2 linked regions of the Bombyx mori genome follow. The protein of the gene in region 1 interacts with the protein of each later gene in a pairwise test. Links are inferred from orthologs where the notes say so. Each region holds a gene or a part of one and is shown on either strand. Other genes may lie near its edges.

Region 1 (4,136 bases):
CATAACAACTTTTTAATGACAATGAGTCATTGGAATTCTGTGTATTTGTGGAGTTAAATTAGGTATTTTACTGTTTTAAATGAATCATTCATTTCATATGCAACAGTGCTACACACTATATTAAATCGATGCCTCCAATTAACGCTACGCTAACTCCAAATTCATAGATTTACAGGAGGAGCGTTTAAACGAAAAAAGTTAATAAAATCTTTATTATTGCAGATAAAAAAGATAGCTATAATTGGAACGATTGCACTTGTTATATTATTATTGCATTTGTTTACTAATACTAATATTTTACTAATATTTACTAACAATCACGCCACGTTAACTGGTCCCGTGCTAAGTTCGTAAAGAACTTGTGTTACAATTACCAGATAACGGAAATAAATATAATATTTTTATTATACACATACATATATTTAATATACACCCATAACCCTGGAAAGACATTTATATTTATCATACAAATATCTTCCCTTGGCGGGATTCGAACCCGCGACCCCCTTGTGTAGTGACCATGTCACTTACCACTACACCAGACGGCCGTTAAATATATTTATGGTTTTTTAGATAGATAGGCAGATATATTTATGGTTTTTTTTTGGTGTAACTAGCTGGTTTACTCTTGCTTTGAACACCATCAATAATCATTAATTGTAATACTTTTAGCATAGTGAAGCGATTAGGGTGAAAAACGAAAATTTCAAAATTTTGAGTTAGAGTAGTTACGTGTTCATTGAAGGGATCGAAATCCAATTTCAAGTTAAATAAGATTTTAAATGTTAAAAATAATTACTTAACAATTAGAAATTTCCTAAATACATTAATCCTTTATGAAACAAACAAATGGCACTATACTACTAATAATTGGCATTTGATACTCATGTCTTAAGATACTTGGCATTTACTTTATTGATGTCTAAAAACAAAAAACCCGTGTTAACTGGTTACTGGAAAACCACAGATCTTATAATGTAAATGCGACTACAAACTTAGATATGAGGTGGTTTCACTGCATTGTATGATAGCTGGCCTATTCTTCAAACCAGAGTGCATAGCTGTTCACAGCCAAAATAAACTTATATAAGAAAATAGAATTGTTTGGAGTTTTATTACCAGACATTATTTTTTTACTGTAGAGATCATCGTCAAATATGTAGAGTATTTATTTCTAGAAAAAACGGTACCTCCCAGCAGGATTTTAAGCAGTTCTTGAATTAAGCCAACATTATGCATCAAGATTTTATTACCTAATAATATATACCAAGCGATCATGTTTTAACTGAGATGTAAGCATAATATGGGCACAGTTGTAATCTTTCATAGAAACCTATATTTATCAGTATCAGATAAGTCTGAATTCAGTCTATTTAAAAGCGAAAGGTTCCCACTAAGCAAAATATTACAAAACTGCATTTCACATTTATGTAAAACAGTTGTTTATGTAGTGCATTGAATAAATCATCTCAAATTCATGTTATTTTATTTAGATTATATTTTGTTCTAGATCCTTCCATCCTTTATTCTAGAAACATTATTGATGAATTGATACTCGTTTGTAGTAATGACCTCTTTCTATACATTTACTTTTTTCTTTGCATCTGTTCTCATTGGCTCGCTTGATATCAACAACCTAATGCATATCAGCATAGTGTGTTCACACTTTGTTTATTTACGTTTTCATTAACCTACGTGTTCGTGGAAATGACAAAACAACACGTACGTCACGCGTGCTTCAAAAGTAATACATATTTTATCTCGTTTAACTACACGAGTACCAGGAAAACATGATAAGCTCGGAAGTGAATCGTTGAGAAGTTCCAAGAAACACGAAAGGTTATTTATCCCGGTACGCGGGTAAATTTAGAGCGGGCAGACAGGTCGATCACACAGGTCCTACGTCAACCGCGCAGGCGTCCCGACAGCTGTCGAACACTGACCTCGAAAAAAACCACGCTTCATACGTGACCCTAACCTAAATACAAACACTTATGGGCATTTTCACGTTAATACGCAATCATAGGCGTATCCTTCAGTTTAGATATTATGGTTTTACTCACGGGAAATCCCAGACCAGCAAGGGAAAGTGTGTGAATGACGCCGTTATGTACACGACATTTCGTCACTTTTTCTAACTCTTGTACATGATCACTGCACATTCTGACGCTTCACAAATGTTGATTACCGATATTAGAGGACATTTTAATTAATGAAAACACTCAACAAAGCACTAAAATACACATTTTAAACACATGACTCGACAAAAACATTGGGTCGTAATCGAACACTTTTTCGAAAAGGATACACTTGAAGCCTCTGTCCCATATCCTGTATTAGATTCGCGGCCTGCTGCCGATAAGCTAACTCTTTATCTGCATCTAAACCGCATTTTCTGCTTGGTGAATTCTGTAGCTGTTCTTTTGTAAAATACCATTTTTCTTGCCCACCAGCCATTGAACGGATGTTCGGACTGCGCGCGAGAAAGCACGACGGATAGAAGTGCCCCGTCTAAGTGCGTGAGTGGGAAAGGGACAGCGCTAGCACAGCGGCAACCGGATAAAGACCACGTTAACATTTGAGTGATTGATAAATTAAAATCCTAACATTTTATCAGAAAACACTGTTTTCATTCACCATTAATGAACTAAAAAAATATTAAAATTAATGGAATAACAAAACAACAAGAAAACTACTTAAAAAAAATACATCACAACACGATATTCTGATTAGGAATTTCAAGCTGACGCCATTGTAAAACTTGGTAGTTAACGCAGTGAGGTCTCCGGTGACAGATTGATGATCTGCAAAAAACACAGGTACGTTTCACTTTATCACTATGTTTCTTTTAATAGAATAAGAATAGCTCTTTCTTTTGTACATATTTTTAAAACGCATTGCTAACTTTTCAATGAAAAAAATCAACTTCAAATTTACGGACCTAAAACTCTGTCGCACTGTGCAAATGGCCGACCCACAACTGTTTACAATTCACCTCACTATTAAATTCGAGTTAAAATGCCTGATGACTTAAACTATTATCGGTCATTTCATAATTAGTGAAATTATTTTATAACACGATTAGTTTTAGTCATTACTTTTTTCAAATTGTTGCAAACTAGTTTATTTTTATTAAGAATCACATCTGACCTAACTTTAGTGAACGAAGTTTCGCGCTACGTGGATAACTACGAACAAACAATCGTAATTAAAATATTCTAATTTAAGATGATTACGCAACTTTTACAGAGGTTTCATATGATTTTTAAAGAAAACATTAGAAAGTACGTATTACAGGCTGCTATTATAGCAAAAAAATGTTTCCATTCGGAAGAGAGTATGCAAACACCTTGAACGCTCATAATATCAAGATTTCTGAACGTAAGTAAAAAATAAAAAATCAAATGCGCTAATTTAAACAAACAAACCAATTCATTACTTAGTTCATTAAACATGTAGATTTATAAAAAAATATAAACATCATTTCATTAGAACACGAGAATTTTTTGTATAAAATAGTATATCGTAGTCAAGTCAGTAGTTGTATAGGCTGTCGGAGTTAATTTTTTTAATATCATTTCTTAGACTTACACTGCGATTACGTCATTAATAAAATTGTGACAATAAAATATTAAGCACCAATTTCACGGGATCCAAATTTTCATGTTTCGCAGGTACCCTCCTAAAAATCTAGATTATAAAAAAAAAACATTTTTGTACGAATTATCATCTAAATCTGTCCACTGCTATTTACGTGATTACGAATTTTTCCTTTGTAAATCAACATTATTGTAGGTTAAAAATATACTGGGCTCCTTCCGGTACCCGTTTCATTAACAATTAGGACGACTTGTTTATCAACAAAAAAAAATATGCAAACTTATGTAATAATTGTAACAAGACGTAACAAAAACAGTATTAATTTGGCGATACGTACATGCGGGATAGTACAAAAATTTAACAAACTCAGGGCCGTATTAAGTACGTATTTCATAGCATTAAGTATTGCATAATTTAATTTGCGTGATTAATGGTGGTAGGACCTCTTGTGAGTCCGCACGGGTAGGTACCACCACCTTGCCTATTTCTGCCGTGAAGCAGTAATGCGTTTCGGTTTGAAGGGTGGGGCAGCCGTT
Region 2 (4,276 bases), on another chromosome or scaffold:
AAATACTCGTACTTCAATAAATACATATACATAATAAATATTATCAAAGTCTAATCTAATATTTTCTCTAATACTAATCTAATAACTAATCTCTAATTAATAATATAATACGCCAAAGTTATTCAAATATATTTACAGTAAATTTAAATGGGCGTATAACTAGTGTTCGTATTAGTCCATATAGTTTTATCAGCGGCACACGCAGTGATAGAAAGAATTTATAAAACTTTTTTAAGAAATCACTTTTTGTCGGCCTACTTTAGTAATTCTGTCACGAAGCGCCTAGGTATTAAACTCAATTAAACTCAATTAATGTTTAGTTTATTCAAATTTTAGTATAATATTGCGTTATTTACCTCGAAGCGTCTTTTACTATTGTTGTGAATGTGTAACTTTTTGTAACAAAAACAAAAATCAATTCCGATGACACATTGACGTTTCTCTTTATTCGTTTTCATGTCAACGTTTAAGGGTCATTGACATCAAAACCTATAAACTCACAGTTTACCAATTTTAGATGTCTTACAAGCAATACTTTCGTTTTAGTCGATTTTTTGTATTTTCATTTATTTTAGAAACACTGTAAATTAATTAATTTGTTTTAACAGAAATTGTGGTAACCTGAATAACATTCAAAGAAAAGCAGTACATACCATCTTAATAAAGTTATTTAAAACCATGGATGTTTACTTTATTGTTAAATTAACTTTTTCGTTACAACTTCAGCCAAGTTAAATTGAGTAGATCAATAGGTAGTGTTTTAGTCCAAAATATATGTAATAACCGCTGCCTATTTTACCGTTTAACGCTATGCGAAACCTCATAAATATTTGAAATAGTCACTGGGTATGACTTTTCAAGTTCTTACAAAATTTTCTTTTTCCACTAAATTACGAAGTTTTAATGTGTGTTTCATTTCTAGCCATCCGACAATTGACCAAATCTTCAATGCTGTGGGTCGTGACCTCTATGGGATTTCAGAATCTCTCCGGTGGATTATCTTACGCCATACGTCGATATATTCTCGACGCTATAGATGACCTCAAATACGATAGTGTATTTGCGGTACGGATTTGGTCTGACCAGCGCAGGGGGACCTGCCCATCAACAACATCTAATTTCATTTAATTCCAATCCTCAATTAACTCTACTTCACTTTTTAAGCAACAGATATGGCGGGCATTGGCCTTTGGTACAAAACATTTTGATTTGGGCTCTTTTCTTTGCGTATTCAATAAATAAAAAATAAAAATTGATATTGACAGTTGACGTTTTAATTAGTGTCACAGTCTTCAGTCAGTGTTGCATTTCACTTCTTCCTATTGTGATTTTGCTGATAGGGTATCAATAAATTTCGCCGTTTCCAAGTGAAAACATAATTAATGTGAAATTTTTTAAAAGCTTTGTCTACACTACAATTAAAAATATCATATTCATACTAAAAGTTCGTTGAAAACCGCCAAAATTACGTCCAAAATGCAAAGCGTAAGTGCTCCGCGGGAGCCCACGCAACCAGTTTTAAGCACAACTTCAACTATATTAAACATGAGGGAAAAGGAGAAATACATAGAGGAATTCGACTTTCCCTTCTGCGACGAGTCTTCCAAATACGAAAAAGTAGCTAAAATCGGACAAGGAACATTCGGTGAAGTGTTCAAAGCGCGCGCGAGAAACAGTAGCAAAAAGTTTGTTGCCATGAAAAAAGTCTTAATGGACAATGAAAAAGAGGGTTTCCCGATCACGGCCCTGCGGGAAATAAAGATCTTGCAGCTCTTAAAACACGAAAACGTTGTAAACTTGATAGAAATATGCCGCACGAAGGCTACGGTTCACAATAAATACCGTTCCACTTTCTATTTGGTGTTCGACTTCTGCGAACACGATCTAGCTGGCCTGCTATCGAACGTGAATGTTAAGTTCAGTCTCGGCGAAATAAAAAAAGTCATGCAACAATTACTGAACGGACTTTATTACATACACAGCAACAAAATACTCCACAGAGACATGAAGGCTGCCAATGTACTAATAACAAAGAATGGAACATTAAAACTGGCTGACTTTGGACTTGCTCGAGCATTCAGCGTCGCAAAGTCTGGACAAGCCAATAAATATACTAATCGTGTTGTTACTTTGTGGTATAGGCCTCCAGAATTGCTGTTAGGTGAGTTTTTAAAACATATTATTTATTAATGAACAGTGTTTTTTTATGTAAACCATAATTTCTGGTAATAAGACAAATTGAGCTTGGATGAGTGGGCACCATTATTCTACTAACTCCTGTTGCTAAGTAGTAAGGCCTTGAAGTAAGCTCCCCTCCATGATGTTTCCCGAGAGCCTGTCTGTCGTCATGTCTTTCTTCAAACGAGGCTTGTGGAGAGTACTTCACGGTAGGCAACGGCTTGGCTTTGCTCCTAGTATTGCTGACGTTCATAAGCTACAACCACTCACCATCAGATGAGCCTTCTGCTCATCTGCCTACAAGAACATTTTTTTTTTTATCTAAAGCATCGAAGCAGTCATACATTTTAGTTTAAAGGAGACAAGTGTTATGTTATCTTTCATAGTGGGAGTGATTTTGAATAACTTATAACTAACATTTAATAACATGTAATAGTGAGTTGTCTTTGTCTGCTCATTTAGAAAAATATATGAAAAATGAGCTGTGGTGTGTTGTATCAGCTTTAACATGCCTTATTTAATTAAAGGTGACCGTAACTACGGTCCACCAGTGGACATGTGGGGAGCCGGATGTATCATGGCTGAAATGTGGACTCGCTCCCCGATCATGCAGGTTTGAAACTTTTCAAAGATACCGACCTGATTAAAACTACTTTTACAGTTTAATCTAGTTTTTTTTGCAAATCTAGTCAAAGGAAATAGATGCAGGGCCCTTGCTTAAAAATGCAGTAATAAGTTTTTGTGTTATCTAGTCAAAAATCACTGCTCTTGTAATGGGAAAGCATAAAATACCAAACCCTCTATTGAGTTTATTCAATAATAAACTTGCAATTTTATAATGATCACAAATTATATGCCATAAACCCCAAATTTAATGGAGTATTATTGGATAGACTTATTGGTTCAATGATGTTCATAGATAAAGGTTTACAATGAGTCACAAAATCTACGAATTATTTCTTTTCAAATTGATAAATTTTATTGTAATTGTATATTCTGTAGATATTTATGTTATTATTTTTAGAATATGTATAGAATAGTTTTAGAAATGACAGACTAAGAGGCTGAGGCTCCAGAAAGACAGACGATACACCACAGATCAGCAGTTAAAAAAAAAATTCTTGTCTACCATGGATCTTTGATTAGAAATGTAATATTTCAGGGTCCGACAGAACAGCAGCAGCTGATATTAATATCGCAGCTGTGCGGTTCCTGTACACCTGATGTCTGGCCCGGAGTGGAGAACTTGGATCTTTACAACAAAATGGAGTTGCCAAAGGGTCAAAAGAGGAAAGTCAAGGTGAATATGGAATTTAATCATTGAGATTTTTATATCTATTGGCTTAGTAAGACTGTTTGGTCAGAATCAGGGTACCTATGTACTCAATTGCAGTGTGGAAATAAGACATAATCATTTTTGAAAAAAAAAAAAGTTTTTTTTTTATCTTTGGCCGATAACACACATTCCAAGATGATATTTAAGGTCAAGGCTCAACACACTGCCTCATAAGTCAACATTTCATAGTTCATTACATATTTTCTTACAAAAACAATAAGTATTTTTGCCTACTGTCAACTAGTTATTTTATTTCTGTATCACCGTAGCCACCAAAAGCATTGTCAGCCATTATATAATTGTTATATCGGAATATAGGAGCAAAGAAACGAACATACATAATAACAGCCGGTTTATTATTGCACTGCACACTGCATAACACACACTGCAATAATACTATTGAGACTCAGATCTCATATCTCATGATGGGCGTCGAGAACATTTTGATGTTTGGTCCAGTGGGCATTTAACAATATGTGTACTTATTTTCCCATCTATGCCGCTCTCTCTTCACTGCATACTGTATATATTCATTCCAGCATCTCTTATATACTAATTAAGATTTGTATATAAACACAGGAAAGACTGAAACCATATGTGAAGGATCCCTACGGCTGTGACTTATTGGACAAACTGCTGCAGTTAGATCCTGCCAAGCGGTATGTATAATAGTTTACTTCCAGCTTACAATTTCTACAAGGAATTTATTCTATTAATGTTAATTGTTGATAGACAAGAAACTGGTTTTACCGGTGAAAGGAC

What was found.
Region 2: the proteins of cyclin-T (region 1) and Cdk9 interact in a two-hybrid assay, tested with the Drosophila melanogaster proteins (2 studies listed by BioGRID). The link is inferred for Bombyx mori from reciprocal best matches to the Drosophila melanogaster genes CycT and Cdk9.

The regions. Positions count from the first base shown.
Region 1 is NC_085108.1:5,583,888-5,588,023, forward strand, and holds the start of cyclin-T, read right to left. Parts: upstream 2,801-4,136; 5' UTR 2,458-2,800; coding exon 2,309-2,457; intron 1-2,308. Other genes in the region: KAT8 regulatory NSL complex subunit 2, read left to right, coding at 3,318-3,381. UniProt on the Drosophila melanogaster protein: Regulatory subunit of the cyclin-dependent kinase pair (CDK9/cyclin T) complex, also called positive transcription elongation factor B (P-TEFb), which is proposed to facilitate the transition from abortive to production elongation by phosphorylating the CTD (carboxy-terminal domain) of the large subunit of RNA polymerase II (RNAP II).
Region 2 is NC_085130.1:9,750,901-9,755,176, forward strand, and holds the start of Cdk9 (cyclin dependent kinase 9), read left to right. Parts: upstream 1-1,476; coding exon 1,477-2,161; intron 2,162-2,705; coding exon 2,706-2,791; intron 2,792-3,340; coding exon 3,341-3,478; intron 3,479-4,093; coding exon 4,094-4,173; intron 4,174-4,276.